Macaca fascicularis: one gene and its partners. The protein of the gene in region 4 interacts with the protein of the main gene of each other region in a pairwise test. Links are inferred from orthologs where the notes say so. Each region holds a gene or a part of one and is shown on either strand. Other genes may lie near its edges.

What was found.
Region 1: the proteins of GRB10 (region 4) and GIGYF1 interact in a two-hybrid assay, tested with the Homo sapiens proteins (2 studies listed by BioGRID). The link is inferred for Macaca fascicularis from reciprocal best matches to the Homo sapiens genes GRB10 and GIGYF1.
Region 2: the proteins of GRB10 (region 4) and RAF1 interact in a two-hybrid assay, tested with the Homo sapiens proteins (2 studies listed by BioGRID). The link is inferred for Macaca fascicularis from reciprocal best matches to the Homo sapiens genes GRB10 and RAF1.
Region 3: the proteins of GRB10 (region 4) and GIGYF2 interact in a two-hybrid assay, tested with the Homo sapiens proteins (2 studies listed by BioGRID). The link is inferred for Macaca fascicularis from reciprocal best matches to the Homo sapiens genes GRB10 and GIGYF2.

What each region holds. Positions count from the first base shown.
Region 1 is NC_088377.1:49,276,519-49,283,856, forward strand, and holds part of GIGYF1 (GRB10-interacting GYF protein 1), read right to left. Parts: intron 6,596-7,338; exon of another isoform or gene 5,758-6,595; 5' UTR 5,631-5,757; intron 5,555-5,630; 5' UTR 5,490-5,554; intron 5,348-5,489; 5' UTR 5,276-5,347; coding exon 5,241-5,275; intron 5,150-5,240; coding exon 5,020-5,149; intron 4,923-5,019; coding exon 4,827-4,922; intron 4,656-4,826; coding exon 4,544-4,655; intron 4,446-4,543; coding exon 4,337-4,445; intron 4,087-4,336; coding exon 4,046-4,086; intron 3,863-4,045; coding exon 3,692-3,862; intron 3,477-3,691; coding exon 3,223-3,476; intron 3,124-3,222; coding exon 3,018-3,123; intron 2,885-3,017; exon of another isoform or gene 2,715-2,884; intron 2,524-2,714; coding exon 2,386-2,523; intron 2,364-2,385; exon of another isoform or gene 2,235-2,363; intron 2,188-2,234; coding exon 2,090-2,187; intron 1,900-2,089; coding exon 1,728-1,899; intron 1,622-1,727; coding exon 1,455-1,621; intron 1,343-1,454; coding exon 1,242-1,342; intron 1,163-1,241; coding exon 1,037-1,162; and 9 more. UniProt on the Homo sapiens protein: May act cooperatively with GRB10 to regulate tyrosine kinase receptor signaling. May increase IGF1 receptor phosphorylation under IGF1 stimulation as well as phosphorylation of IRS1 and SHC1.
Region 2 is NC_088376.1:150,944,678-150,952,544, forward strand, and holds the start of RAF1 (RAF proto-oncogene serine/threonine-protein kinase), read right to left. Parts: upstream 5,004-7,867; 5' UTR 4,699-5,003; intron 1-4,698. UniProt on the Homo sapiens protein: Serine/threonine-protein kinase that acts as a regulatory link between the membrane-associated Ras GTPases and the MAPK/ERK cascade, and this critical regulatory link functions as a switch determining cell fate decisions including proliferation, differentiation, apoptosis, survival and oncogenic transformation.
Region 3 is NC_088386.1:128,708,902-128,716,239, reverse strand, and holds part of GIGYF2 (GRB10-interacting GYF protein 2), read right to left. Parts: intron 6,562-7,338; coding exon 6,382-6,561; intron 3,015-6,381; coding exon 2,797-3,014; intron 2,705-2,796; coding exon 2,542-2,704; intron 2,455-2,541; coding exon 2,266-2,454; intron 1-2,265. UniProt on the Homo sapiens protein: Key component of the 4EHP-GYF2 complex, a multiprotein complex that acts as a repressor of translation initiation. In the 4EHP-GYF2 complex, acts as a factor that bridges EIF4E2 to ZFP36/TTP, linking translation repression with mRNA decay.
Region 4 is NC_088377.1:79,811,751-79,819,088, forward strand, and holds part of GRB10 (growth factor receptor-bound protein 10), read left to right. Parts: intron 1-2,313; coding exon 2,314-2,429; intron 2,430-3,426; coding exon 3,427-3,495; intron 3,496-5,204; coding exon 5,205-5,342; intron 5,343-6,658; coding exon 6,659-6,769; intron 6,770-7,338.

The DNA of each region.
Region 1 (7,338 bases), about 31 Mb from region 4:
GGGGGGTCCTGGGAGGTTCCTGGCCTGCTCACCACTCGGTGGTTGGGGGCCTGGGCCCGAGCTGGCTCCCGAGGTGGGGGCTGTTTGTGCAGCTGCCGCTCGCCCTCCAGCTGCAACTCCAGGAGTGTCTTCATGGACAGCCCCTGCTTGGCCAGGCCAGCCCAGAGTGGGGGCGGGGAGCTGGGCGCGGGGGGCACGGGGACTGCCTGCTGCTGCTGCTGTAGCAACTTCAGCAACAGCTCCTGCTGCCGTACCTAAGAGGGGGACACAGTGAGGGGACCTGACGAGGGCTCTCTCCCCAGCCAGCTGAGGCTCGGGAGCACCCACCTGCTTGCGCCGAAACAGCTCTTCCTCCTCTTGCCGCCGCTTCTGCTCCTCCTGCTGCTGCTGGCGGCGCTTCTCCTCCCGGCGCTTGCGTTCCTCTTCCTCCCGCTTCGCCCTGAGCTCCACTTCTCTGCGCTCCTGGAACTGAGACCAGTGGCTGATCAGGGGAGAGCTGCAGGGGACAGCTTGGGGCCTGCCTCGGTCCCCCCTTTCATTCCCAGGGCCTCAGCCCCAGGATGCCTACTCACTTTATGTTGCAGCTGGAGTTGTTCTAGAATTGGACCCTGAGTCGAAGAGTTAATTGGTATGTCCCAAAGACTGGCCTCACCACCTGCAGGGGGCAGGGGGCAGAGGCAGCTGCAGGTGGGCACTTGGGCCCACTGATCCAGTCCAGCCGCAGCAGTGGGCTCCCCAGCCAGAATGGCAACGAGGGGTGCAAGGGTGGGGAGCAGACCCCAGACCCCAGTTCACCCGGAGACTGCCTTGGGGGTGGGGGGCCAGGCAGGCCACACACCTGACTGTGATGAGGCTGAGGTATGTACGTCCCAGAGGCGGCCCGAATCCGGCACCGACAAGGACCGGCTCATCGTCGGGAGCAGGTTCTGGTCCCCGCCTCTGAGGAGCAAATCGTGGATTCTCAGGACCCCAAATCCATCTCTGGTCTGCCCCCGTTCCCTACCCTGTATCCTGAGGGCTAGCATGCGCCACGCACCTGGGGGGTTTGAGCGCCTGGAGCTGCTGCAGGAATGCCGTGAGCTGCTGCTGCTGCTGCTGCGGCGGCGGCGTCAGGTCCCCTAGAGCTGCCTTTTCTCGAAGCGCGCATTGTGGGAGCTGGCGGCTGCAAATGGGACAGTGGAGGTGGTGGGCCACAGAGCCAGCTCCGGGCCTTCTCCCAACCCACCCCAGGCCCCCCATACCTGCTGACCAGCTGAAGAAACTGCTGGTGCTGCAGCTGCTGGTACAAGGCAGCCGCGGCCAGCTCCTGCTGCTTCTTCAGCCGCTCCTGGTCCATGTTTCCCTGCTCGGGTGAGAGTTCGGCCAGTGCCCGCAGCAGCGAAGAGGGGACTCTGCTGGACTCCTGCCCACACCCCTTACACCCTGTCCCTCCATGCAGGGGAGAGGCGGCTCACCAGCAGTGGGGGTGGTGAGGGCCCTGGGGCGAAGGGCACACGGCCCCACATCTTGATCACCTCGCCTAGAGGCTGGAAGCCCTCATCACAGCCCCGCTTCACCAGCAGTGACATGGAGAAGTAGCCAGCCTGGAACCACTCTGCCATCTCCTGTGTCGTGAAGGGGCCTGGACAGGGAGCAAGGGAGCAGGAGAACCACTGTGGTCACAGGGTAGGCCAGAGACACCCTGAACCAGAATGGCCCTGAGCAGCCCTCCCATCCCACACAAGTACCTTGGATCTCGCCCTGCGGATCCTTGTAGAACCACTTCCGGGCAGCTCCATGGCTGAGCGGGAGGGCAGTGGCGGCTGCAGAATGGCGTAGGCCCTGGGTCTGCATGGCAGCTGTGAACTGCTCCTCCTCCAAGGAGCTGTCCTGCAGGGAAGCCACCAGCTTCTCCGCCTCCTGGAAGCCCAGGAAGAGAAGAAAGTCTCAGCTGCCAATCTCAGCACCATCAGGATGGGGATGGAGCTTGGGATGGGGATGGAGCTTGGGATGGGGATGGAGCTTGAGCTGGGGCCGGGGCCGGGGCCAAGCAGGTCAGGTGGTCAGGAGAAGTGTGAAGGGTCCCTCCCACTTTCTCAGGCCCCCACACCTGCTGCAGGTGCTTTAAGCCTTCATCATCCTCCAGATCTCCAGGTGGGCCAGCAGGGGAGCCCACCCCAGGACTCAGCTGGATCCCCCGAATATCATCTGGAAGGCATGAGGACAGGAGGTGGAAGGGAGGGCGGCAAGGAGACAAGATAGCCTCCGCCCACCCTCACTCCAGAACACTGAGCTCTTGCCATGGCTCCTCAATGTGAATGCCCTGTGTGCCCACCCCCACAAAAGGGGACCACTTTCTCTCACAGCCCCAGGGCACCCGGGAGGTAGGTCATCCTCCCTTCCTACCTTCGGCCACTGGGGGCTCTTTCTCCGCAGCTTCGTCCCCATCCCCGTTTGTCCCCCAGAGTGGGCCCAGGGTGGGTAGTGGGGACGGGGAGCTGGACTTCTCCTCCTGAGGAGGCAGTGGGGTCAGCTCCTTCCCACCTAGAAGAGGAAGATGGCCAGAATTCAGAACCAAGGGCTGGGCCTGCCACGCGAGTGAGTACAAGCCCTTGAGTGTGTGGCTGGACCCACGGGTCACCCTCCCCCGGGCCAAGTCCACCACTTCACTTGGGTCAACTCAACTAATGGTGGAGCGGGAATGCGGTGCCCTGACCCTTGCCTCCATGTGCCAGACGCAGCAGGAACGTATCAACACTGCACAACACCATACAACCCCGCAGACTTCACCCCAGGTTCTGCAGTTTCTTCAATGGACTTTCAAAGGTCATTCTGATTATGCCTGATTTCTATCTGGTACACTGCCTTGAAGACATGGCTCTGCTAACCCCTGGTTCCTCCCCACCTCTCAACACTCTTCTTCCACTTCTAAGTAGCCTGATCCTACAGGTAGGTGGGCAGCAAGTGCCCAGCCTGGCAAAGAACCCCCATGCCAGTCTGGCCCGGCCCCAGGCCCGCTGGGCACCTCACAGGCTCACCCGCCTCAGGCCCTTCCTCCTCTAGCCCTTCGGAAGGCTCCTCCTCCTCCTCCAGCCCTTGGAAGTCCAGCTCCTGCTCCTCAGGAATGGGCTCCTTGGGGCCCTTCTGCATGGGGCAGGGGTGGGGGGCAGAGAACAGCTGGGTGGGTGAGGAGGAAGAGGACCCCAGCAGGGCAGGTTCCCACCCTCACCTCCTTGCAGATACCTTGAGAGGCAAGAAGGCCCCAGAGGCATCAAAGGTGCCCATTTCTTCATCCTCATCGTCCAGGCACCACTCTGGGAGCCCATCCTTGTCCTCCTCAAAGCCGTCAGGCACTCGGCACCGCCGCAGGTGAGAGCTGCCTCCCCCTCCCCGCCCCTCCTCTTCACCACACCCGCCTCGATCCCCTCGCAAATCAAATTCAAACTTGCGCCTCCGTTCCCCATGTTCCCGCCAGCCAGCAGAGCGGGGACCGCCATCTGCGCAGGAAAAGTCAGGGAGAAGAAGAGTGGGTACCCAAGCAAAGCTGGCGGCCCTCTCTGCTGCAGCTCATGGAGCACCTCCAGGGCTGCTGTCCCAGCCACTCCCACACCAGCCAGCCTCTGCTACCTCCCAGGGGCTACAGGAGCCCACCCTCTCATGACAGTTCCTGCTCCCCACTGCCCTCACCAATGCTACTGGGCCCCAATCTCACCAGGGCTGGCGGAGCGCCAGCGGTCGCCATCTCGCCGGGGCCCTGCCCCAAGCCTCCAGCTGCCCTCCTCCTCCTCCTCCTGCTCCTCCCGTAAGGAGCGCCAGTTCTCGCTGTCTGAGCGGGCATGCTCCTTCCTTGGGCCAGCCCCTCCCTCCTCAAACCCACATCGTGCTGGGAGATGGAAGAGAGGGGCAGTTATCAGAAAGGCAGCGTGGTACCTGGACCCTCAGGAAACGTGGGGAGCCAGCTCCAGGCCCTCCTGCCCCCAGCACCTCTGAAATAAACACCCTCAGACTGGGCCACCCATCTTGATCCTCCCCGCTGCCCCGGCCGCCGCCCTCAGCAACCTCGTACCTCCATCCCGCCTTGCTGACTTCTCAAACCGCCTGTCGCCTCTGCAGGAGGGGAAACGTGTGGGTCAAAAACAGTACAGCCTCCCCACCCACCCTTTGCGACCGCCCCATGCCTTGTCCACTGTGCCCTGAGGCAGTGGAGGGAGGGAGGGAACAGAGGAAACCAGGGGTCAGGAGAACAGGGATCTCTGACAGGGCTTATCTGGTAGGCCTCTGTTACCCTCTAGCAACAGGAACCAGGCCTCCCTCCCTGGCCTGCCCTGCTCTATGCCACACCCCCTCCTGGCCCCACCTGTCATCCCAGCTCTGGCTGCGCTGGATCTCCCGGGGGCTTCGTCCAAAGGCCCCATCACCTTCTTCAATGCTTCTTTGGTAAAAGCAGCTGTCACCGCGGCCACGGCCTAGATAAGAGGCCAGATGCACACTGAAACCTGCTGCACGTCCTCAAAGTCAGGGGCCCTGATCTGCCTGCCCCCGGGACACGCCATCACCCCTCTACCTCGGCTCCGCGTGCTGCCCCTGCCTCGGGAGGTGCCAGTCAGGGGGGGGCCAGCCCCTTTCCCCATCAGCCTCAGCACAGCCACGCTGTTCACTGACAGGGAGAAGTTTCTCTGAGGAGGGAGCCAGGGGCGGGAGTGAGGACCCAGGTACCTGACCACCCCCACTCCCACCCCACAGCACCCTCCCGGCCTGTCTCCCCAGCACTGGCCCCTCTCCTCCTAGCCCGACTCACGGCCACCCCTCCCCGGCCCCCGCAGCCTCAGCTCCTGGCCTGGCCCCACCTGTTCCTCCTCAGTCAGCGGCTCCAGGGCCAGGGGCTGCAGTGGCTCGTCCTGCAGCACCGCGGCAAACTCCTTGTCCTGCAGCTCTTCTGGGACCTGGCGGTGGGGTGGGACAGCCAAGACACCACATGCTGCCAGATCCCCTCCATGGGCAGAGACCACCGCCGCCAACAACCCTCGTCCACGCACCCACCTTGTTCTCCTTGACGTAGAGGGCCAGCATCTCCTCTCGCCCATAGCGGTAATCAGCCAGCTTGTATTTGGGCATGGCAGGGGATGGAGGTGGGGAGGCCACGCTGCCGCCCCCAGACAGGGCCCTGAGCCTGGACACGACACAGAGAGAAGAAGACAGGTCAGGGCAGCCTGACTGTGCTTTCCCGAATCTCCACGGCAGCCGAGGCACATGTGACTCACCACTCAGGCCCAAAGTTGAGTGTCTCTGCTGCCATCGTGGGGCTGGGCGTGTTTTCTGAGAGGCCGGGGGTGGGGAGGAGGGGACCTGGCGTTCGCTCTCCAAACACCTGTGGGGGAACGGAGCCATGGAGAACAGCACACGAAGGAGACCTTTCAAGTGCAGGGAGGACACCCCGGGGTACATCCTGGTAGGCATGGCAATGCGCCCCGGACTAGCTGGTGGGTCACCTGGGGTCTAAAAGGACTCACCTGAGCCAGCCACGTGGCCACTCACACCATGAGTTACCCAGAGATGAGTCCAGACGGTGAAAGACCTGGGGGAGGCGAGGAGATGGGAAGCTCGAGTCCTTCCGGCCTCCGTGGGGCAACCTCCCTCGGCCCAGGGCTCACCTGGCAGCCTGGCCCAGGAAGCAGGAGGGCAGGGGCTGGTGCTGGAGTGAACGAGGGTCCCCAAGCCACTGGGAATTGGTCTGGCCTCCGTAGAGCCTGGGAGCGACCTTTACATCTGGGAAAGACCCTTAAGGAGAGCAGGGGGGAGGAGATAGGGTTCAGGACAAGGCTCTGCTGGCAGCCCTGCCCTGCCCTGCATGACGGGAGAGGTCCATTCGCTGGGTGGTATCTCTGGGCATCAGCACCCTCACCACCCTCTCTGGGAGGCTGAGACAGGAGGTGCAGCGCAGAACTCAGGGAGGGAGGCAGCCGAGGCCAGGATGGATGTTCAGGGCAAAGATAAAACAAAAACAAGCAAGCAAGCAAAAACTCACTAGAGCCACAAATAGCTTACAGAGAAAAGGTCAGTTACGGAGAGAAGGATTAGAAATAAATCTAGGAGCAAAATTCTTTCCTTTATGAAAAAAATCACAGTTGGCTGCTCAGAAGCTCAAATCCAGGGGCTTGGTCTGGGGAGAAACCCAGTGAAAAGGAGCAGGAGGTGATTCTAGGGCCACAGACTGGTACATGACGAGGCTCCAGGCAAGCCTGAGCCAAGGCACCTCGGGCTGGTTTCCCCCACAGGAATCACACCCAGACCACCGCCCCCCAATCAAGAACGGAGGCTGAAACAACCAAGCCACCAAGGGAACGAGGATCTCAGGATACCGGCTGGGAAGCAGCCTCTGGCACCATCAGGTGGAAATAAGGTCAGGGCAATGGAGGCTGGTGGGGGTGCAGCGGCAGCCTGTTCCTCTAAGGGACGATGGAGGGGACTCTCAGGAGGAGGCGCATCCCTGGGGACCCCGGCAGAGGACTCAGGCGGGTGGGCGGGGTCCAGGCGCTGCAGAGCTGTTGTCACTGGCTGGGAGGGAGGCTGGCCCGGCTTGGTGCTGCAGCTCCCATCAACTCCAGGACGCCACAGTCTGGGAAAGAAGAGGAAGGGGGTTCCACCAGGATGCTAAGGGGGAAAGGCCATCAGCCCCAGCTGAGCCAGCAGCCCATGACATGCCGAGGCCTGCTCAGAGTCCCAGCACCCCAGGGGGAACCACAGGGCTCAGAGGCAACCCAGGGCCAGGGTGGCCTCCCCTGGGGCCTCTCCCTCCTCAGCCTCGGGTGGATGCTCCGGTGGTGGTGTGCTCCACGCCACGCAAAGCCACCAGCCTGTCGCTGACTGCAGGTGGCCTCCTAGAGCAATCTGGGGACTGGATGAGACTTGAGGACATGATGCTAAGTGAAACAGACCAGCCAAAAAAGGAGAGTTAGACCTTACTTCTCTTTCATGAGGTCTCTAGAGGAGGCACTCACTGAGGGAGGAAGGTAGAAGGGCAGTCACCAGGGGCTGAGGGGACAGGGAACTGTTGCTGAAGGGCCCAGAGCTTCAACTGAGGAGCAGATCCTGGGGCCGCTGGTAGTCAGGGCCAGACACCAATGTGAGTGTACTCAGTGCCACAGAACAGCACAGTTAGAGACAGTTAAAGTATCCAAATTTTGTTGTACATTTTACCACAATAATCACTTTTTAAAAAAACCTTTAGGGAACAAAAGGTATCTGGAGATAACCACCGCATACCTAAGTTTTCCCCACTCCAAGAAAAACACCCCACATTCCTTCAAATCAGCCTCAGGAGAGGCTGTTTTGAGCCTCCTCCAGTTCATTCCTTCTAGA
Region 2 (7,867 bases), on a different chromosome or scaffold from region 4:
AAAAAAAAAATTACAGGCAAGATAAGTTAGCCCCATACCAAAAGTATCGACTGAACTGCAACACAAATATCTAGTATTACATTTTGAACCCAGTCAGATGAGCAATTAGGAATTCTACCCTCCCATACACATACCAATAAAAGACCTAAACAACCTCATTCTAAATAAACCCAGTGTTCTCTGATTTTCCAATTAATTTACTCAAGGTAAGCAATTTTCCACCTCACAGTCATTTGTTTTGAAGAAATGACTCCCAAGATCTGCATAACTTAAAAACAAAAAACTAAGTCAAAGCTCAATTTCATGGTTTCATAAACCTCCTCACTGTCACATTAGTACATTGCCTTTCAAAGGCAATATTTAAAATTCTCTTCTGCAAGTCAACATTAAGGCATGCTGTTTGGCTAACAAGCTCCTCCCAAGATCAAGATTATTATGTATGGGCCGGGCGCGGTGGCTCAAGCCTGTAATCCCAGCACTTTGGGAGGCCGAGACGGGCGGATCACGAGGTCAGGAGATCGAGACCATCCTGGCTAACACGGTGAAACCCCATCTCTACTAAAAAATACAAAAAAAAACTAGCCGGGCGAAGTGGCGGGCGCCTGTGGTCCCAGCTACTCGGGAGGCTGAGGCAGGAGAATGGCGTAAACCCGGGAGGCGGAGCTTGCAGTGAGCTGAGATCCGGCCACTGCACTCCAGCCTGGGCGACAGAGCCAGACTCAGTCTCAAAAAAAAAAAAAAAAAAAAAAAAAAAAAAAAAGATTATTATGTATGGCCTATTATGTTCCTAACATGCAAACAAAAGTACTCCCTCATGTAACATTTTTTTAGGCAGTAGGTTACTAACAAAGATTTACCTGAAATTTAAATGTAGAATCATACATTTATTACTAATAGACTACCTGAAATAGTAGTTTAAAGTTATCAATTGTATTTTTCATTTCCTAAATATTCCAGTGCTTCTGGAAAAGTCAAATTTAACTCACAAGAAGTTGTTTAATCTTCAGAGCAAACAAATGGAATAAACTAAAAGCAACTAGTCTCAGAGCAACTGTTATATAATACTTGATGCTTAACGTTCTTCATCTTTTAGATACTTTTCATCAGAAATTACCAGCTTAATTTGCTTCTCACTGTTTTTTTCAGCTAAACCAAATCCCATAAAATATGCTCAAGCCTTCTATTGAAGGCACACTTTTTTTTTTTTTTTTGAGACAGGGTCTCTGTCGCCAACACTGAAGTACAGTGACATGAACATGGCTCACTGAACCTCAACCTCCCTGGGCTCAGGTGATCCTTTCACCTCAGCCTCCCAAGTTGCTGGGACTACAGGCATACTACACCATACCCTGCTAATTTTTTCTTTTTTTGTGTATGTATTTTTTGTAGGGACAGGTTTTCACCATGTTGCCCAGGGTGGTCTCAAACTCCTGAGCTCTAGCAATTCACCAGCCTCGGCCTCCCAAAGTGCTGGGCTTACAGGCATGAGCCCCCACAACTGGCTGATGTTTTTACAACTACTGACAAGACTTTAACAAAGGAATTCCACTATAATTTATAACCACGAAACACCACATACCAGTCAGGCACGATGGCTCACGCCTGTAATCCCAGCACTTTGCGAGTCCAAGGCAGGTGGATCAGGAGTTCAAGACCAGCCTGGCCAATATGGCGAAACCCCGTCTCTGCTAAAAATATAAAAATTGGCTAGGCGTGGTGGCAGGTGCCTGTAGTCCCAGCTGCTTGGGAGGCTGAGGGAGGAGAATGCTTAAACCCGGGAGGAGGCAGAGGTTACAGTGAGCCAAGATCATGCCACTGCACTAAAAAAAAAACCACATATCTTTAAAAGATAAGCCTTTAGTACAGAAACAGTAACAGGTTTATTTTTCCAAGTATCCCAGCATTCAACTGGGTCAAATGTTTATGCTGCATTTTAAACAGCTTAGCCCTTTAGTGATAAGGGTAAAAACAAGTCAAAATAATCCTGAATGTTCTTCAGTGGTATATAATCATCACAACGAAAGTAAGGTTTAGGAACTGCAACTGAAGTCTGTTAATTCCGTAATAGTCACTTTAGCATAAACATTAATCACAGTATTATACCTATTTTAGGAAAATTATGTTTATGGGGATAAAGATTTTATAACAGGTTGTTATCCAAGAAGTCAATACCAAGAAATAGTTTAAAAAATACACTTATTAAACTAAAAATACATCCTACACATTTTTTGGATGTTTGTTTTCTAGAGTCGTCCAATTTCTGTAAGACTGGGGAGTACATTATTTATATTTAAAATTTAGGCCAGGCACAGTGGCTCACACCTGTAATTCCAGCGAGGCCATGGGAGGCCGAGGTGGGCAGATCACTTGAGGTCAGGAGTTCGAGACCAGCCTGGCCAACACAGCGAAACCCCATCTCTACTAAAAATACAAAAATCAGCCGGACGTGATGATGTGTGCCTGTAATCCCAGCTACTCGGGACGGTGAGGCAGGATAACTGCTTGAACCAAGGAGGCGGAGGTTGCAGTGAGCCGAGATCGCACCACTGCACTCTAGCCTGGGCAAAAGAGTGAGACTCTGTCTCAAAAAAATAAAAAATAATAGGATAATAAAACAAATATTAGGAGAGTGTTTTACATTTATAAAGTTAACATTTTTGTGAGCAAGTATAACTTTAGGAGAATTTTTTGCAAGAATCCCCAGGAATATATGAGTTCAATTCATTCACCACTGTGTAAGTGCAAAACATTAAATGTTCTGCTGGCCAGGCGCAGTGGATCACACCTGTAATTTCAGCACTTTGAGAGGCTGAAGCTGAAGGATCACTTGAGCCCAAGAGTTCTATTGAAGGCATACTTTTTAGACCAGTCTGGCCAACACAGTGCAACCCTCTCTCTATTATTAAAAAAAAAAAAAAAGTTCTGCCTGGCCAGTGGCTCACCCCTGTAATTCCAGCAAGCACGTTGGGAGGGAGAGGTGGAGGCAGGAACATCACCTGAGCCCAGGAGTTTGAGACCAGCCTAGGCAACACCGTCAGACTCCATCTCTACTCATTTTTTTTTTTTAATTAGCCATGTGTGGTAGCACCTGTCTGTAGTCCCAGCTACTCAGGAGGCAAAGGCAGGAGAACTGCTTAAGCCCAGGAATTAGAGGCTGCAACTGAGCTACGATCATGTCACTGCACTCTAGCCTGGGTGACAGAGTGAGATCCTGTTCCTTTAAAAAAAAAAGAAAAAAAAAAAAGAAAAGAAAAAGTTTGAATTGTTCTGAAAAAATAAAAAAAACTAAAAAGTCATTAAGTTTAACAAACTAAATCTTTTCAATCACTATCAGCTTCAACATCGACAAAGGGAGAAAACTATCAGCAAGAATAAAGATTCAGCAAATCATATACAATAATCCAAATTCAATTAGTTCACCATCTACAACAAAATCCCCTCACAATTCTAGCAACTTTTATTTTTCTCTCATCTCTCACCATTTCCTTCCTGCACCCCAGGCAATTTGCTGCTCCCCAAACTCATCCCAACTCCCACATGTCTCTAAGCCTTTGTACCAGCTGTTTCCTGAGTTCCTCCTCACCTGGTGAGCACTTACTCACCGGTCTTTCAAAACTCGACGCTTAAGTCTCCTCGAGTATAGAAGCTTCCTCAACTCCTCCCCAAGGAAAACTAACTGTTCTAAATCCTCACAACACTTGGTAAGCCAATTCTTATCACACTGCATTGTTTTCACGCCTTAGGAGCGCAGGGAGGGCAGAATCTCTCCACTCAGCCCACAGAGGACCAGGCAAGCAGAAACGTTCAATGAACGTGCCTTGAATCATTTCCTACTTAGATTAAGTGACCCCCTAGAACCCGTTCACACCTCAAGGAGACACAGAAGTTCCTATCCTTCTTCCCACCACAGAATGAATACCAGGGGCACACCCAGAGCCCTAGAAAGAGAACAATGAATGAACACGGCCGCCTCGCCTCTCACGACGTCCAAACTCCTCTCTCTTGGGTATCGACTCGCTCGCAGAGCCTCAGCAGCTGCAGAGCTGAAGCGTCCCGGCGGCTCTCGCTTCACACAAAAGGCAGCCCTGGCTCTTCGTTCCAAAGCGTCCTGAGGCCAATCCTCTATAAGCATCTCAAGACTTTCATTAATAACCCACAGAGTCCTGATACCCAAGGCTAGTCCTGATATCCAAGAAGAGAACCCTGTGACTTTGTGGTAGGGCACTGGCCAGTTTCCTCCTCTCTTACCCGATTCCTCACGTCCTCCCTAAAAGGGTGTCACCTGACTGAAGTATCCAGAGAAAGGTTGCGTGCAAGCCCGGGTCCCACAATCGACGGCCCAAGAGAAAAGGAATTGGCCCATCCAAGTGACAACAGACATGGGGCAACTCTGGGCGGATTTTCCCACTGCCAAATAATGAGGAATGCGCACTGGCACAGGGGTGGCGTTGGCACGTTTCCGCAAAACACAAGGAAATTTGAGTGGGATGTGGGAACTAGGCTCGCCGGCCATGACACCGGACTCCGGGGCCCCCGCCCAACGCTAACCGGGGTGACAGCGGCCTGGCCCAAGCCCTCCGCCCGGCAGCCGCGGGGCCGCTCCATCAGCGCCACCCAGGCCCGCTCGCCCTGGAAGCCGGTCCCTCAGTCCCGCCGCCCGGCTCCCCCGGCATCCACGACCCGGCCCCTGCCACCTACCTGAGGGAGCCAGGCCGCCCCAACGTCCTGTCGTCCGGTGGCAGCTTCTCGTCCGCTCCTCCTCCCCGCGGCGGGTGAGGGAGCGGGAGGCGGTCACATTCGGCGCGTCCCCAGCCCAGGGGACGGAGCCCCGAGTAGCCCCCGCATCGTAGCACACGCGCTCCGCGCCTCAGGGCACGCGCCCCAAAGCCCGGCCAGCTGACCCTTTTCGGGGCCCAAGGAATGCAGCAGAAAACCCTTTCCACCTCACAATCGTTCTCCTCTTACTCCCGCCATCTAAGATGGCGGCCCAAGCGCCCGCGATTAAGACTCTCGGGCGGCCACGGCAAGCGAGCCCTCGACTCGGTGCTCGTCCTCCCGACCTGCGACGCCACCGGCTCTCCGCTTCTGCGCTAGCCCTCCTGGCAGTCGACTTCTAACTTGGCTCGGGCATCCATCGCTCTGGCCTGAACACAGGCCCCGCCCCCGGGGCGTGGGCTCGCGATCTGGTGGCCGCCATTTCGGAGCTGAAGAGGTTAGGCGATGCTGGCTTATTCTCAGGAGGGGCACTCGGTAATCGAGAAGAGCCGGCTTGCGGCCAGCCAGGAGTGGCCAGAGGCCTAGAAGGGGAGAGGAAGGCCTGCCTGCCAGCATTGCAAGGCCCAGCGATCATCAGACGTGCCCCAGGACACAGAGCACAGTGTCCAACTTTGACTCTCCGGAGTCGGACACTTTAATGCCAAATTACGGCTCTGGCACTTGACAGCTATGTGGACAGTCCCTGAACCTTAAGCGGTCTTTTCCTCGTGTGTAAATTGGGGATTCATTTTTTTTCCCCCATCACATTAGCAAAGAGTTAGAAAAACTAATAATATTGATCCAAGGTACATTGAAACCTGTTGTGTGCCCTCTCAGCGCTATCAGAGTGGAACTTGGACATTTTTAAAGTATGTATCCTTCCTCCCGGCAGTTTCACTTCTAGACATGAATTCTAGAGAAATAAGTAAACATATACACAAAAAGTTATGTGTGGAGATGTTTAATGCCATATTTGCATTCTCGAGAAATACTGGGGGTGAAATGTAGATTAACAGGAAACTGGGCCGGGCGCGGTGGCTCAAGCCTGTAATCCCAGCACTTTGGGAGGCCGAGACGGGTGGATCACTAGGTCAGGAGATCGAGACCATCCTGGCTAACACGGTGAAACCCCGTCTCTACTAAAAAATACAAAAAACTAGCCGGGCGAGGTGGCGGGCGCCTGTAGTCCCAGCTACTCAGGAGGCTGAGACAGGAGAATGGCCCGAACCCGGGAGGCGGAGCTTGCAGTGAGCTGAGATCCGGCCACTACACTCCAGCCTGGGCGACAGAGCGAGACTCCGTCTCAAAAAAAAAAACAGGAAACTGGTTAAGAGAACGCTGCTACATCCAATCTGGGTTGTCATCCATCCAAGAATGAACTAGATATAATTACTGAATTTATTTATTTATTTTTTTATTTTTTTATTTTTATTTTTTTTTAAGACGGAGTTTCGCTCTGTCGCCCAGGCTGGAGTGCAGTGGCCGGATCTCAGCTCACTGCAAGCTCCGCCTCCCGGGTTCACGCCATTCTCCTGCCTCAGCCTCCCGAGTAGCTGGGACTACAGGCGCCCGCCACCTCGCCCGGCTAATTTTTTGTATTTTTTAGTAGAGATGGGGTTTCACCGTGTTAGCCAGCATGGTCTCTATCTCCTGACCTCGTGATCCGCCCATCTCGGCCTCCCAAAGTGCTGGGATTACAGGCTTGAGCCACCGCGCCCGGCCAATTACTGAATTTAAAACAACAACAAAAAGGGCCGGGCACGGGGGCTCACTGCTGTAATCCCAGCACTTTGGGAGGCTGAGGTGGGCAGCCTGAGTTCGGGAGTTCGAGACCAGCCTGACCAACATGGAGAAACCCCGTCTCTACTAAAAACACAAAAATTAGCCGGGCGTGGTGGCGTGTGCCTGTAATCCCAGCTACTCAGAAGGCTGAGTCAGGAGAATCGCTTGAACCCGGGAGGCAGAGGTTGCAGTGAGCCGAGATTACACCATTACACTCCAGCCAAAGCAAGACTCCATCTCGAAAAAATAAATAAATATTAAAAAATAAAAATTCAAAAGTAGCAGGGCGTGGTGGTGCATGCCTGAAATCCCATCTACTGGGGAGGCAGAGGCAGGAGAATTGCTTGTACCCGGGAGGCGGAGGTTGCGGTGAGCCGAAATCGTGGCATTGCACTCCAGCCTGGGCAACAAGAGCAAAACTGTCTCCAAAAAAAAAAAAAAAAGACATGGCCGGGCGTGGTGGCTCACGCCTGTAATCCCAACACTTTGGGAGGCGGAGGCGGGCAGATCACGTGAGGTCATGAGTTTGAGACCAGCCTGGCCAACATGGTGAAACATGTTTCTACTAAAAAATAAAACAAACAAACAAAAAAATTGGGCAGGTGTGGTCAATGGAGCGCTACTGCACTCCAGCCTGGGTGACAGAGCCAGACTCTTGTCTCAAAAAAGAAAAAAAAAAAAGCCATTAAGCTGAGCCGGGCGCGTTGACTCCTGTAATCCCAGCACTTTGGGAGGCTGAGGTGGGCAGATCACGAGGTCAGAAGATGGAGACCATCCTGGCTAACACAGTAAAACCCCGTCTCTACTAAAAATACAAAAAAATTAACCAGGCGTGGTGGTGGGCGCCTGTAGTCCCAGCTACTCGGGAGGCTAAAGCAGGAGAGTGGTGCGAACCCAGGAGGCGGAGCTTGCAGTGAGGGGAGATGGAGCCACTGCACTCCAGCCTGGGCGACAGAGTGAGACACCATCTCAAAAAAAAAAAAGTCATTAAGTTAAAAAACCAGAACATTATGTATGATCTTATTTATGCAAACACAGGAACACAAGATACCAACCTAATACTACAGAATGCCATGTGCACTATTCCTTTTCGATATTGAGAGCCTATTAGGTACCACACATTATTTTGGATATTGGAAAATTAACAGCAATCAAAATCCCTGCCTTCTAGTAATGGGAGACTAAAAGAAAATATAAATAATAAGATTCAGGCTGGATGTGGTGGCCAAAGCCTCTAATCCCAGCACTTTGAGAGGCCAAGGAAGGAGGTTCACTTGAGCCCAGGAGTTGAAGACCAGCCTGAGCAACATGAGACCCCATCTCTACCAAA
Region 3 (7,338 bases), on a different chromosome or scaffold from region 4:
TAATAAGTGCATGCAGAATTTTCAATTTTTATTCTCTCTCTAGCCCTAAACTCTTCCCATCTAGCTACAGTCCCTCATTCACAACTGCTCTCTGGCCATCTCCACTTAATTTCTTCTCATCAACACCTCAGAATTACTGTTCAAAACTGAATTTATTCTCTTCCCTCCCCAGTGTGCTCCTCGACTTCCACTCTATGGTGAATGGCACCCTAATCCTCTCAGGCTCTTTGGCTCTTCCCTCTTCTTTTCATGAGAATGGCACCATAATCCTCTTATAATCCTCTCTGGCTCTTGCCTCTTCTTTAACCTGATATCCAGTCAATGACTGAGTCCTGCCAACACTTATTTTAACATCTCCTCTGCCACAACTTCCCTTTACAGGTGTACTACTACCTACCCCATAGTGACTGCTCAGGAGTCTAAGTGGTCAGAGTGAAGCCGAACTGTCATCACAAGATAGTCTACACCCCGCTGTCAAATCCATGTTCTAACCATGTTTCCCAATATCCTCCTTTTCACACTTCATATTTCATCAAATAAAAACAAGAGCTGATTTCCTGCCCAAGCCTGGATCAGTCCCACTTCTTCACTTCAGCTTTCACTGCTCCCTAGTACTGGAATGCCTTCTCCCAATTCATCTAGCTATACTTACCTCCAAATTCTACTTACTATTCCAAGACGTGTTCAGAGACCACCTACTTCCTGAAGTATCCCAAGAGTCTGCCAGCAGTGAACCCTTATCTTACTTTGTGCTCTGGAATAGTGATACACGCACGCTTTATCTCCCCTACACACTATAAATCTGGAGTTTTGACCTTTAATGTACATCTCTGAAGCCGTCTCAGAATATGCATATCTAGACTTGATCCAAGAATCTCCTGAATAAGGCTTCAAGCATGTTTATTCAAAAGAATGTACCACAAGTAGTTCTGGGGCATATCCTACTACAAATCAAACTGTCTCAAAGATATACCAGTCTCACAGTGCCTGCTATGTAGAGTACAGATTCAAGTACTTGCTGAGCTACTCAAGAAGCTAAGGGCAGGAGGATCACTTGAGCCCAGGAGTTCGGATCCAGCCTGAGCAACATAGCGAGGCCTTGTCTCATTTTTGTTGTTGTTCGTTTTGTTTTTAGAGACAGGGGTCTTGCTATGTTGTCCACGCTGTTCTCAAACTCCTGGGCTCAAGTGATCTCCCCCATTTCAGCTTTCCGAGTAGCTGGGATTACAAGCACATGCCATCACACCCAGTGAATCTCATCTCTTTAAAAAAAAAAAAAATCAGCTTTGTTCTAGACATTTAAAAAATTGAAAAATTCTTGGTTTGAGTTCTCAAAGTATCAGTCTACTGGGAAAAAAGGTAATAAACATCTTTATGATACTATAATGCTATGTTAGAAATAAGGCTGATTATTTAAGAAAACAAAGGAAGAAGACACCTACCCTAGTCTGGGGGCTTTGGATGGAAGAGAGTTTCAAGAACAGAGAAAACGACGCGCTAAGGTATGAACCCTAGAAAACAGGAGATATTTCAGGACCTAGAAGGCTTTGAGGCTGGTGAGTAGAATGTGAGGGAGGTAAAGAGGCTGGCAATGAAACTGCACAAAGGGAAGCAGATGCCAGATTGTGCAGTGTCTCATATGTCATGTTAAAAGGTATGAATTTTTACGGTAAATGAATCAAGCAACCCTTCAACGTCAGGCATTACAATGACATTTTCTAATATGTACAAGAAGAAACATGGAAATGAGCATTAATATTGCCTAATAAAGTGTATGAGCAACTTAAACCAATACATTAACACTGAAAAAGAGATATATTTTAAGCTTATTGTGCCACAGATTCATATATGTTCTCTTCTTGGCCTCTTTTAGAACAATGGCACTTTGGTGTGTCATCTGGTAATTTAAGCTGGGCACATAATCAGTCAACACATGAAAGGAAGGTAACTGTCTGATATGGGAATCAAACTAATGCAAAGGATCTGACACCCAATTCACTAGTAATGACACAGTGGCTATGTCATAACACCTTAGGACAGGAGATTCCAGAGCTCCACCCTTGCAGATTCTCTGTTTTGGTAAATTCTGAGACGGACACATAAGTGAGAAGCCCTCCTTGACTGGGTTTACTGGTAAAATAATCTATTCTGATAATTCACCCACTAAAAGCAGTTCTAGGAGGCATAAGTAGAAGCCTATCTTATCAATGATCACTGGCCTCAGCAGAATCCTATTTTAGCTTGTCTATTCCCACAAATACATACCATCCGCTCTGCTGGGCACTTTGGCTGGTAGACTATTTTCCATCCGAGTCTCCTCTTCAGCTTTTTCCGTTTGCTCGGTTTTTGGTTCATCTTTCCTCTCAAACTGTGATGCTTCCTGAGACTGATGGTCTGAAGGAGTGCCTGGTCTAGCAGATGATAATGAGGTCTGGGGAGTTTCCTCACTAGCTTCTGGAACACGAAGTAATCTTAGTTGAACTTAGGAAAGTTTTGGTTTGATGGAGGAAAAAAAAGGTAAAGGGCAAGAAGAGGCCTTACCAACTCCTATTCTATCTGTTTTCTCTCCTTCTTTCTTATTTGTCTTCTCAGGTTCTTTGGCCTCTTCATTATGGCTACCCTCAGAGTCAGAGCACTCCTCCCCTTCGTCCACAGGCCGGAAGTCCATCTCCTGCTCTTCTGGAATAGGCTCTTTCTGCACTTTCTGTAGCAAGAGAATAAAATCAAAGATCAACAGCAGATTTGGCTTTGGTATAAGGTTAATGTTGGTCATGACATTTAAAACACATTTCTTACTTTTAGAGAGAGGAATGCTCCAGATGAGTCAAATGTGCCCATTTCTTCTTCAGCATCCTCTAAGCACCATTCGGGCAAGCTATCCCTGTCATCATCTATGCTCCCACTGCCAGAGCGAACCCTTCGGTAACCCCTTTCATCATCTCTATCTCGAAAATCAAACTCGAACCTTCGACGTCGTTCCATGTGTTCCCGCCAGCCTGCAGAACGAGGGCCATCTGAGATGAGAAGGAGGACACAAACCTTAGAAAAGTTTTATGACAGTATTTGAAAAAGAAAATCAGGAATAGAAAATAAAGGAGAAAACTACAAGTGACTGCAAACTCAAATGGACTGACCTAGTAAAGAGAACATTAGGCAACTAAATGTAAGTTCAGAGTTCAGAGTATATATACCATTATGAGACGACAACAGTACTTAAGTACTGAGCCATGCAACATACTCTAAAGCTTTAAAAGATAAATCTAAAATGAAGCACATTTAAAGGACACTGTATTCCAAGTAAGCACTTTTAATAAGTCCTAGGTACTTGATTAAAATACCAATTAGCCGCCAAATCCTCATCCAGACTTAATGCACTAGACATCCTTCCATACTGAAGATTATACCTTCCCTTTGCCCAATCTTAAAGCATTTTCTTTCTTCCCATGAAAATATCGTTTATGGATAAAATCAGCTCCCTGTGTCGATTTATAATATCAAACTCATCATGCCTATTTATTAATGCCAGGTTCCCACTTGTAATTCTGATTCTCCCCCCAAAATTCATGAAATTTACAGCGCTGAAAGTTGTCACAGAGATTTTATAAAGTCCACTATCCTAATTTTATAGTTTAAGGAGAAACTAAAACTTTGCCAGCAGAAGTAACTCGCATATGGCAAAGTAGAACTAAAATCCAATTCTGTACCCTCTGCTGCTTGTTCCACAATAACATGTTTACTCTCCTTTCCCTTCTTTCTCATCTCTTAATTCTCCCTATCCATATAACACTCCCAGGGACATTCCTAAATCTACATTTCCCAACAGAAAAAAAGACTGCCTAATAATAAAAGATCCTACTTAAGGTATTTTTCTAAAAAAAAAAAAAGAAACGGAAACTCTTGTTAAAATCTGACAGACCTAGACTCTGACAGAGTCTTAAAGAGTCTTAAAAAAAAAAGCAGGCTTTAACCTATTAGAATTTTCCATCCTTGACTGCATTCTCTGTGGGGGATAAGAAAAAGAAATGTGGCCAGAGCTAAATGTTCTCACTATTGAGACAAAATTTGCAAAAACCAGCAATCTAAAAATCAAATTGGAAAACAAAGGGCAAAATGTTAAAAAGCCAAATACAGGTAGCATCTGATAAGCCACTCACAAAAAAAATATCTTATTCCCACACTCCCATCCCTTCATGTAACAACAACAAAACACTATTTACTAATTCCTATGAGAACTAAGGAATTTTATACCCAGACTGCTTACATGGAAACCTTGAGCCATTATGCGAAAAAAGTCTTCATGATCAAATGAATTCCAGAGCCCTCTGTACTGCTTTCATTTCTAACAGTCTAAATGTACATCATGATAGGAATCTATCCTTCTAGGTACCTGGCTCATGCTTCCTCTTACTGAGTTTCTTAGGTTCAGCTCCCAGACTGGATGCCTTCCTGTCCTTAATGGTCCCAACTCCATACGCATCCAGCTGGAAGCCCTATTTTATATCCCATAATGTTATCTTACCAGTAGTTCATAAAATTTTACTCACAAAACTAAATACAGCAAGTAAGACATGTAAGGTACTTATTAAGGCCGACTGCTGATTTACAGACCCTGCATCTAAACTAAAGTTGGATCCTGTTTTCATAAAGATAAAAGCAGTTAAAATACTTTAAAGTTTTACTCAAATCTTAATAAAAGATTAACCATAAACTAACAAATGTTAAGAGTTAACATATGAAAACTGCTATAATCAGGCTATACTTTGAATATACTGGGTTTAAAAAGTGAATAGTATTCTTTATTTAAAATGCATTTACACTGTTTTTTCAGACCCATATATCTTTGTACCCCCCAAACTATCTTTTAAAAATATATGGATTTCAGCCACAGGTGTGACTGAAAAAACATATATGTATATGGATTAAAAGTTCTGGAAGATACACAAGTTGATGACAAAAATGACATGAAAGTCAAATATTAGGGGGAAAAAAAGATTTAGAAAAGATGAGAAAATAATATATATCCAAATTCTAAGTTGTTGGGTGGGAGGTACTTTGATAAACTCCCTTTAATAGAATCAACATCAGACATTAGGGCTCAAAAAACATTGTTCATCTTCCAAAACATTCACCTTGTTTGTTTTTGACCAGCTGGAATTTCGTTTCTCTCTCAACCCAGATCCTATCCATTCTTCACTGAATGCTTGTTGGGAACATAGTCTACAAACCCTCTGCCTACGGACAAGCTCAGCATAAAATGCCTTTTAAAGAACTATAACATTTGGCTCAGGACACAGACTAATGAAAATTGTCTAGATCTTGTGATGTAAACAATGCCCACTAATGACAGAAAACCCACCCAAGAGGCAGCCATGAAGAGTTGGTATAAAAGCATCCTAACCCTACCCAAACATTAACTTCAGTATGTTTCTATCTACCTACCACTTCCTTAAAATACTCTGAATGCCTGTTATAATGTCTACCCAGATCTAAGCTAGTGGTTTTGCTAATAACTTGATTTTTAAAAGTGAAAACAGTTTACATTATCATGATTTCCTGTATTAAAGGTAAGCCTCTCTGGCACATGGTTGATAAAATACTGTCATACACATGAAATTCATAGGGCATGCACATACTTTGTGTGCTTCAGTTTTGCATGACCCCACGATTGGAACTACAGTTGCATCTGATTATCATGAGGCATGGAATCAGCACTGTGGTAGGATATGAACTTTAACACAAAGCACTAGTGTCTTCAATTACCAGCATATCTAATGTCCAAGAAGAACAGTTTGAAGCATTCTTAAGAGACAAACAGAAGAACTTTAAAAACCACTAATCAGTATTATTCTCTCTCCTTCTTCTAAAGTTAGAAGGACATAAGAATGAACTTGTGATTATGTTTCTGACCTAGCTTTAAAGCTTATTCTTCAAATAAGGTTAAATCACATTTTCAAGGGGAAAAAATGAAAGAATAAACCCTTTCTTGTTAGGAAAAACACCCACTGTTGGGGAGGGAAGCACATATTTCAAGTGTATAATTTTTATACATTTATAAATCTTAAAGAATGCTGAAAAAAGATTCAAAGATTTAGAGGTAGACAAAACTGAATGAAACCCTCATTTTTGCAGTTGAGAGCATGTGCTTCCCATTAAACTACACTATTTGCCCCAGAAAAATAGAAAAGTGATTTCAATAAACTGAACAGATGTAGCAGGAAATTTTTATGTTGCAATTTTTTCTAGTAATAAAACTGTGACAGCATAAATAATATGAATCCTCCCCCACCTTTTTTAAGCCAGTTTATCTTTTCCATTTAATCCCTATTTCCATCAAATTTCCCCTTATTTCAGTCCCTATGGACCTTTACTCAGAATTCTTACCAGGACTGTGAGGTCGCCACCTCTCTCCATCCCTCCTTGATCCAGCTAGTCGCCAACCTCCATCTTCATCTTCTCCATTTTGTTCCTCTCTAAAGATGCGCCAATTTTCACTTTCTGAGCGTATAAATTCATGCTTTCTCCCTACTGATGCTGGTCCACCTTCCTCAAAATTTGGTCTCCCTATAAAGAAAATAATATGGTAAGTAACCATGAGCCTCTGCCAGTAAAGATTTTGAAAACAAACTTCACAGTTCAAATCAAGCTTTCCTGCAAATGTGTCCATTTCAATATTCAGGAAAAAATCACTAAAATAACTGTGGGTATTTGCATATATTATTAGACACATTTCTTAAGGCTGAATGTTCACAGACTGTGCAATTATTTTTTAACAAAAATATTATGTACAGTTTTTTTTTTTTTTTTAAAAAGCCATGCAATGGAAAGTCCATCTTCCTACACAAGACCCTCACAGTCATATTCCCCAGAAGTAACCATCATCAAGTTTCTTATAAAGTCTTCCAAACACTGTCTGTGGGTACACTTACACATGTATACATAGCTCCCTCATCCACACGCACAAACGCCACCCTCTGGATGTTATAAATGTTGTTTTGTTTGCTGTTTTCACTAACACTGTATCTTGCCAATCCCTCCTTACCAGCACATACTTTTTAAAATTATACGATATTTTTCATTATACAACATACTTTATATAACCAACACCTACTGGTGATTCTGCCTAAACATGGTATCTGTACATGTCAGGCCCTCTTTTATTCCAAAACAGATTATAAACTGAAAAGTAGGCCGCATGGTGGCTCACACCTATAATCCCAGCACTTTGGGAGGCCGAGGAGGGCAGATCACAGGTCAGGAGTTGGAGACCAGCGTGGCCAATACAGTGCAACCTCGTGTCTACTCAAAACACAAAAATTAGCTGGGTGTGGTGGCAAGTGC
Region 4 (7,338 bases):
CCTGGGCCCCCTTTTGCCAGGGCACCAAGCCCTCACCTGTCCACCTGGATCTGACGGCCAGGGACACGTCTCCCTGTGTGTTTACACTGCCATGTGCAACTTTCCCGCGATCTTTCCAGGGGCAGCCCAGGGAAACAGGGAAGTATTGTCCGCAAGGATGGGTGCCTGCATGGGTTTGGCCACCCCCTTTAGGCCTGGTGGCTGCCCCCAAGCATCCTCTTTGGCTGTCCTCAGGGTTCTTTGGAGACAAAATGCCCTTTGCTTTGGAAACAGACATATTCTCCTTACTTAGGTAGCTGTCACCTCCCATTTTTATTTCTCCTTATTTTGCCTGATAAAAATTTTTAGTTCTGTAAATCAACCATCAACAGTTTATTAGATCGTTGGTTTTGGTTTTGGATTTTTGTTTTTGTTTTTTCCTGTAACTACAGAAAGACATTTTTCTCTGAATAAACATTTCAACAAAAGTCACTGATTTGTTTTCCTTCTGGAAAATCCATTTTCGATGAATGAACCTCTTTTTGGAAAGCAAACCTAACAGTTTTTGTTGCATGTTCTTGGTTTCTCTCTTTTTCTATCATGGGGAGACATGAGGGCCATGTATTGGTTCACATGTTGCTAGCAGCATTCCCTCCCAGACAGGGACAAACGGGAACTGCTCCACACTTGCTGGTGGTGCCAAGTCTGAGCTTTCTGGCAGCCACGGGGAGAAAATTCCTTTCCTTCACAAACTCTGGCTTTAAATGTGTTTTTACCAAGGAATCCTTTCCTTGTAATGTCAAAACCAGGGCCGAGCACGAATCAGCTCCAGAATTTGCTTCTGCATGCCAGTCGGGGCCCATCGGAGATGCGTGCCCATGGCGACAGTTGTTCTTTGTAGACGGAAAGTCTTTTCTGCATTCTTAGATCACTTTGACTCAGAAATGCTTTTGCCTTGAACTTCATTCCTTCCTTCCGAGATGACACTTTCCTCAAGATTCCAGTCTGGCTGCAGGAGAGGAGGGTAGGGTCTTAGGACGACAGAACTGCCCTGGTGTCAATTCCATAGCATGTTAATCTTTACCGTTTTGGCATCAGTTCACACTTTGACCCTGCTGTACATTTGTTCTTGTTTATTCCGTGATTTAATAAGGTTAGTTTCCCGTGGCCACCACCGTCCTGTGACAGCTTCTGAGGAGGTGCCTGGGAAGGGACGTAGCTGTCATGAAAGGGGGCAGTGCGGCCTCTGCAGGCACACGCTGTTCCAGGGTATGCTGAGTTCTTCCCGCTCCACCTGGAACCACTGTGTTCACACAGTGAGGGAAGCGACTTTTCCCTTTCCGGGGGACGGTGCTGCTATGGAAGATGCTGTGAAGGAGGCGTGTGCGTATGTGCATGCGTGCGTGTGTACGTGTCCGCAGCGGGTGCTGGAGGATGGAGTGTGTTTTTTTCCCTGCCTTTACATGTAATTCAGTTGACAAGAACTATTCCATGATGTGGTGCGTGCAGGCTTCAGTGTGAAAGGTGAGTATGTACGTACCGTCTCGCTGTGCATCACGGCCCCTCCCACAGTACACAGCACCATCGTTTCTGGCAACCAAGTTTGATGTCATTAGAAAGCTTGCATCTCGGCCGGGCACGGTGGCTCATGCCTGTAATCCCAGCACTTTGGGAGGCCAAGGCGGGCAGATCACGAGGTCAGGAGATTGAGACTGTCGTGGCTAGCATGGTGAAACCCCGTCTCTACTGAAAATACAGAAAAATTGGCCAGGCGTGGTGGCAGGCGCCTGTAGTCCCAACTACTCAGGAGGCTGAGGCAGGAGAATGGCGTGAACCCGGGAGGCAGAGCTCGCAGTGAGCTGAGATTGCGCCACTGCGCTCCAGCCTGGGCGACAGAGCGAGACTCTGTCTCAAAAAAAAAAAAAAAAAAGCTTCCATCTCTGGGCCCTCTTTGGTCATCCTCCCCTTTCAAGTTCTTTCTCCTTTGTTTCTTGTTGTAGTCTTTTATTTACAAGAATTGAAATTTATTAATTTAAGGGCAAAATCATTTGCTGAGAGTATTATGGACTCATTCCTTAACATCTGGTTGATGCCAAATTCAAAAGAAGTATATAAAAATAAGTATTGACCTGAATTCCTCATGCTGTGTATCTTAAGACCTCTTATGAATTTGGTAGTACATAAAAGAGAGATTTAAATTTAGTTTCCTTCCTGACCTCGTCTCTATTCATAATGTTTAAAGAATAGAAAGTTGAACAAATCTTGCATTTGGTTGTAAAGCTACCATGAATTTCCCACCTGTTGCATCTCACATGTGATACTTTGCCCCTGCAGAGAGGTGCTTGGAAGACCACGAGCTGGTGGTCCAAGTGGAGAGTACCATGGCCGGTGAGAGTAAATTTCTATTCCGGAAGAATTATGCAAAATACGAGTTCTTTAAAAATCCCATGGTGAGTCTTACGTCTTCAGGTTTGGGGTTTGGGACTCTTGACATCTGGAAGTTTATACTTGGGTTTCATAGTATCAGATTAGAAAGTGACTGAGAGGCACGACGTAGCATATCGGTTTGAGAGTCAGAGTTGCAGTTTAATGAAGCAATCCTTGCTTGAAACCCAGTCTCGTGCTTCACTAAATGTGCCTGGGACTGGCTGAAGATAGAGGTCTCCTTCTTCAAATAGACACAGTGTAAAGGGGGTTAGTCTCTAAGACAGGAGCTGGGGGAGACTGGGCGTTTTCTGTTATTTTGAAAGTTCTCAGTTAAACTGATCAAACACTTAGCAGAAGAAAAACTCATTATTCTCTGCACACAGCAAACACATTTTGTGATCATACGTGGAAGAATGACTAGAGAAATCAGTGCGATTGGTGGTGTCTTGAGCTGGTCACCTTGATCTCTCTTCCCCTTTCTTTCTTTGGGAAAGAAGGCACTTGTCCTGTGAGAGGCCGGGATAGGGAGGGCACCTCCTAGCTCCTGGGGTACTTACTGTCGTCCTGAGTCATGGGGCAGAGCTGTGTCAGCTGGGGAGAAGACCCAGGGTCATTTCTGACTCTGATAATTTAGCTGCTTTTTTATTCCAGAGTGAGAAATTTGAAGACTGTTTTTGGGGAATGCAACAGAAAAGGCTTTTCTCGTGACTGGGCTTACCTTTTAGTTTCAGGAATTCTTTATCTCACTCTTTGCCATGGAGTATGCTGTGAGACATGCATCCCTTAGTAAACATAGGTGGTATTCCATACTCGTACCCAACATTTCAGGAAATGAAATACAACCTTTTGAAGGAGCTATTTCTTCTGTGTGATAGGAGAATAAAAAGGACTGCCATTTTAAATACAGGTGTACATAATTATATTGGTAGGAATAGTTTTAAAATTTACTTATCTATATGACATACCTTCCCTCACTTTGAAACTAACCTTTCACGTATTTGTTTTTTCCCATTTTCTTAGAATTTCTTCCCAGAACAGATGGTTACTTGGTGCCAGCAGTCAAATGGCAGTCAAAGCCAGCTTTTGCAGGTACTGGGCCAAAATAGACCTCTGCTGAAATAGACTTTCTGAATAGAAATCCTCTTGGAACTGAATGGCAACATTGTAAAAAACCTGAAGAGATTGCATCTTTCATCATTTATAACTTTGGCCCTTAAGGGGGTTTAGAGTAACCAGAAATTAAAAAGTTTACTTGGAAAATCTGTGTGTAGCTGGATTCCTGCTGAGCCAAACAGGCACTTACACACAGAATGCCCTTGCTCTGACTTAGAAGAGTCCAGTGATGCCACTGCTGAGTGTGGCCCGGGGGGTGCATGGAGAAACCCCAGTTTCAGGGCTCCCCAGCTCCTTTCTGAGCAGGGGTCCCAGGTCAGGCCACCGCCCAGCTGCTTGGAAATCTCTGCAGAAGCGCTGAGTCTATAGTAAAAGATGATTGGGTTACCACGACAGACTTTTACAAGTAACTTGCCATACATTACAAATAAAGAAACCTGCTTTAATTGTCCTAAAGTCTGTTCTGAGAAAATCTGGTCTCTCCCCACCTCCTCTTCCAGTGGAGGGAGCCACCAGGGCCTCTGTGCTCAGCTGTCACACACGCTCCTCCAGGGAAGCTGGGAGCGGGGAATGGGAATGTTACAGCTACACCCTAAAAATATGCCTGTGTACATGTCAAAAGTGAAAGAATGAATCATTTCCTAAGGCCACCAACAATATCCAAGTGACATATTACATGTAACAGAAACTACTAAAATATAGTTCCTACAGAATTCTGCTCATAAGCCCTTCTTTTGCTATGTTGTTATCACCAAATTTGTTTCAGCATCTAAAAGATAAGAGCTTCAGAGCTCTGTTCCGGTGGTGTCTTCAGAAGCCCTTCTGACCATAGCATGTGTCTGTTCTGGTGAGAGGTGTCAGTGCTAAGGTACCACCTGTACACCGTGAACAGTGAAATGGCACATTCTGTTTTAACTTGCCTTGACTTTGGGAGGACTCATGTGCTTTGTGAAGATATGCTGTGGTCTCTTGAGACTCAGGAAGGACTGACCCAGGTGCACTAGGGCTCTGTCCGACGTGCCTTTCCCACCTGGGGGAAAAGAGCTTTGTCCCCTCCCAGTCTAGTAGCAAGACCTGCCAACATCACCTCCCCAACTTTGCTCCGTGACCTGGCCCTCGGCCTGTCTTCCCTTTGATGAAAAGCATAGTTTCTTGTTTTGTTTTGTTTTGTTTTGATAAAGGCTTTATTCTTAAGGCTGCCTGTGGGAAAAGTTAAGTGGAACAGGGGGACATCACCAGGATGTCCTGCACCTGGGTTCATCACTTGCAGACAAATGACACCTTTTATGTGACCCTTGACTGGAGGGGTGCCTGGGTAAAAGTGGCCACTACATGCTCACTCTCAGTCCCCAGAGCCCCACTCACTCAGTCATGGCACTTGCTCTTGCCCTCAGTCTGATATCAGACTGGATCCTTCAGTGCACTCTCTTACAGGGAAATTCGTGACTTGTGTTATCACCAGTGTTAGAAAGGTCCATTTGCTTGCATGTGTTTAAATACGAATTATGTTCTATGCAGCACCAATTGAGATGGGATTTTAAGACTTTGGAAAGGAGAACACGCTCAGTTTGATCAAAAAAAGGAGTCTTTTAATAATTCAGAAAATGTCAGTTATGCTAATAACATGTCTGCTTTAATTATTTTAGATTAGCATTATGTAATTTTTAAAATTTGTTCTTCAACAGAATTTTCTGAACTCCAGTAGCTGTCCTGAAATTCAAGGGTTTTTGCATGTGAAAGAGCTGGGAAAGAAATCATGGAAAAAGCTGTATGTGTGTTTGCGGAGATCTGGCCTTTATTGCTCCACCAAGGGAACTTCAAAGGTGAGCTTTAAAACCTGCCACCACCAGCCCTGATTCTGCCCCCGTCACTGCCCCCGGGAGTCCTCAGAGTAAACCTAGGCTTCATTTTTAAATGCACCTTAGACTCCTCCAGGCTCAGGACAACTTCTTAATAAGCTAATTGTGCAACAGCTAAACTTGGAGTCACAGGTTTCCTGGTCTCCCTCAGAAACTAGGTAATAAATAATACATACCTAAGAACCCCACCTGCCCAGCCCCACCCCCACTGTGGGTTGGTAGCAGACCTCCCTGGCTGCCCTATCACTTCAGAGACTGGCCTAGTTCCCATAAGTTGGGATTTAAGCTAGCTGTAAAGATGTTTGATAGATGATTGCCACCCTAATGCCAGTGTAACTTTATGTATCAGATATTTTATGAAATAAATTTCAGGTTTGCATGTATCCGTAGTGAGAAGAAGGTGGGAGATGGAAAACAGCTGCAGGCCCTCAAAAGACAGCTGGTAGCACTGAGGGCTTAGGCTGGAGGCTCCTTCGCTCCCATGTACACTCTTGCCTGCTCTCTTCTCGTGCTGTCCACATACACCCTGTGGCAGGAGCCATGTCCATTCAACGTGGCTGAGCACTTACCATCTGAGGGCTACGGTCTCTTTTACTCTGGCCAGCAAAGGGGAAAGGGAGCTGGCGGGACCCTGGCACAGGTGTTGAGCATCAGGCCAACTCTGGGAAGTCAGCGGCTGCTGACGCATGGGCCAGAGAGAAGGGGGGTCATCTGCAGAGAGGGGCTTTGGTCTGACACAGGGCATGGTAGCGTCCTGACCTCTCAGCTGTGCTGTGTGGCCTGCTCAGAGTCCTCGTGTGTGCTGAAGTCGGGAGATTATTTCCTAGAGCAGGAAACAGAGCTAGGCTGGAGAGTTGAGGAGGAGAAGGGTGGGACAAGCTACCAGTGGGAAAACCCAGGGTACGATTGGACTCTGGATGCACAGCAAACCAAAGGCAGATAGGCCCTGTGCTCTTAACTCTGACCTTTGGGTTATAGATTTTCTTCTGCTTTTTATCTTGAATATCTGGTCATGGGGCTTTGATTTGGCAGAAGTATCAAATACGTTCCAACAGTCTTGTGTGTCTGAGAATTGGGGAAGTGGGTGTTTTGGGTGAGACTGGGTGAATTTGGTTTTAGTTTAGCACTTATCACACCTCATGTAATAATCATATGTAACATGTAAAGTGTCATTGGGGAAAGTGCTTATAAGTGTGCAGAGACTGCCCTCTGTCTACCAGAGGTGAACACATTTGCCCTTTGCTGGGCTTGAGACTTTAACCTGGCCGTTGTTGTCACAGGAACCCAGACACCTGCAGCTGCTGGCCGACCTGGAGGACAGCAACATCTTCTCCCTGATCGCCGGCAGGAAGCAGTACAGCGCCCCTACAGACCACGGGCTCTGCATAAAGGTACACCCGAACTGTCCACAGACGGCGCGCATGCTCAGCAGCCCACTGGAAACTGACTTCTTCTCTTGCCCAGCACTTGATTGTTGCTTCTGTTGTCTTCAACAGAAACATAGTTTCACACTGGATTCCTCCATTCCTGTAAAAACATCTATTGTACACTTGCTGCTGTCAGCCCTTGAGTAGCTCAGAAGCTCAAGGACAAGCAAACAGGGATAGACAGTGTGGCCAGTGGGCTCAGTGTTTTAGGGAGGGTGGCTTTTGGCTTCAAAGGGTGGGCTGTGGCTGTAGCCCAGTACTAGTAGCTGGAAGGGGAGGCAGGGCAAGGGAGAGGACCTCCAGCCTGTCACCTGGGTTGCCTGCATGGTTCTGAGTGAGCTGATGGCTTCTGTGTGGGCCTCTGGCCGTGGGGACAGTCAGATAGGAATGGACACAATGCGGCCCACCCTCTGCATGCACACACACGCGTGCACACACATCTGTGTGCACATACCACATGTGTATACATACATGTATACATATATACCTGTGTGCATACACATACATTATCCACACATGTACGTAGACACACA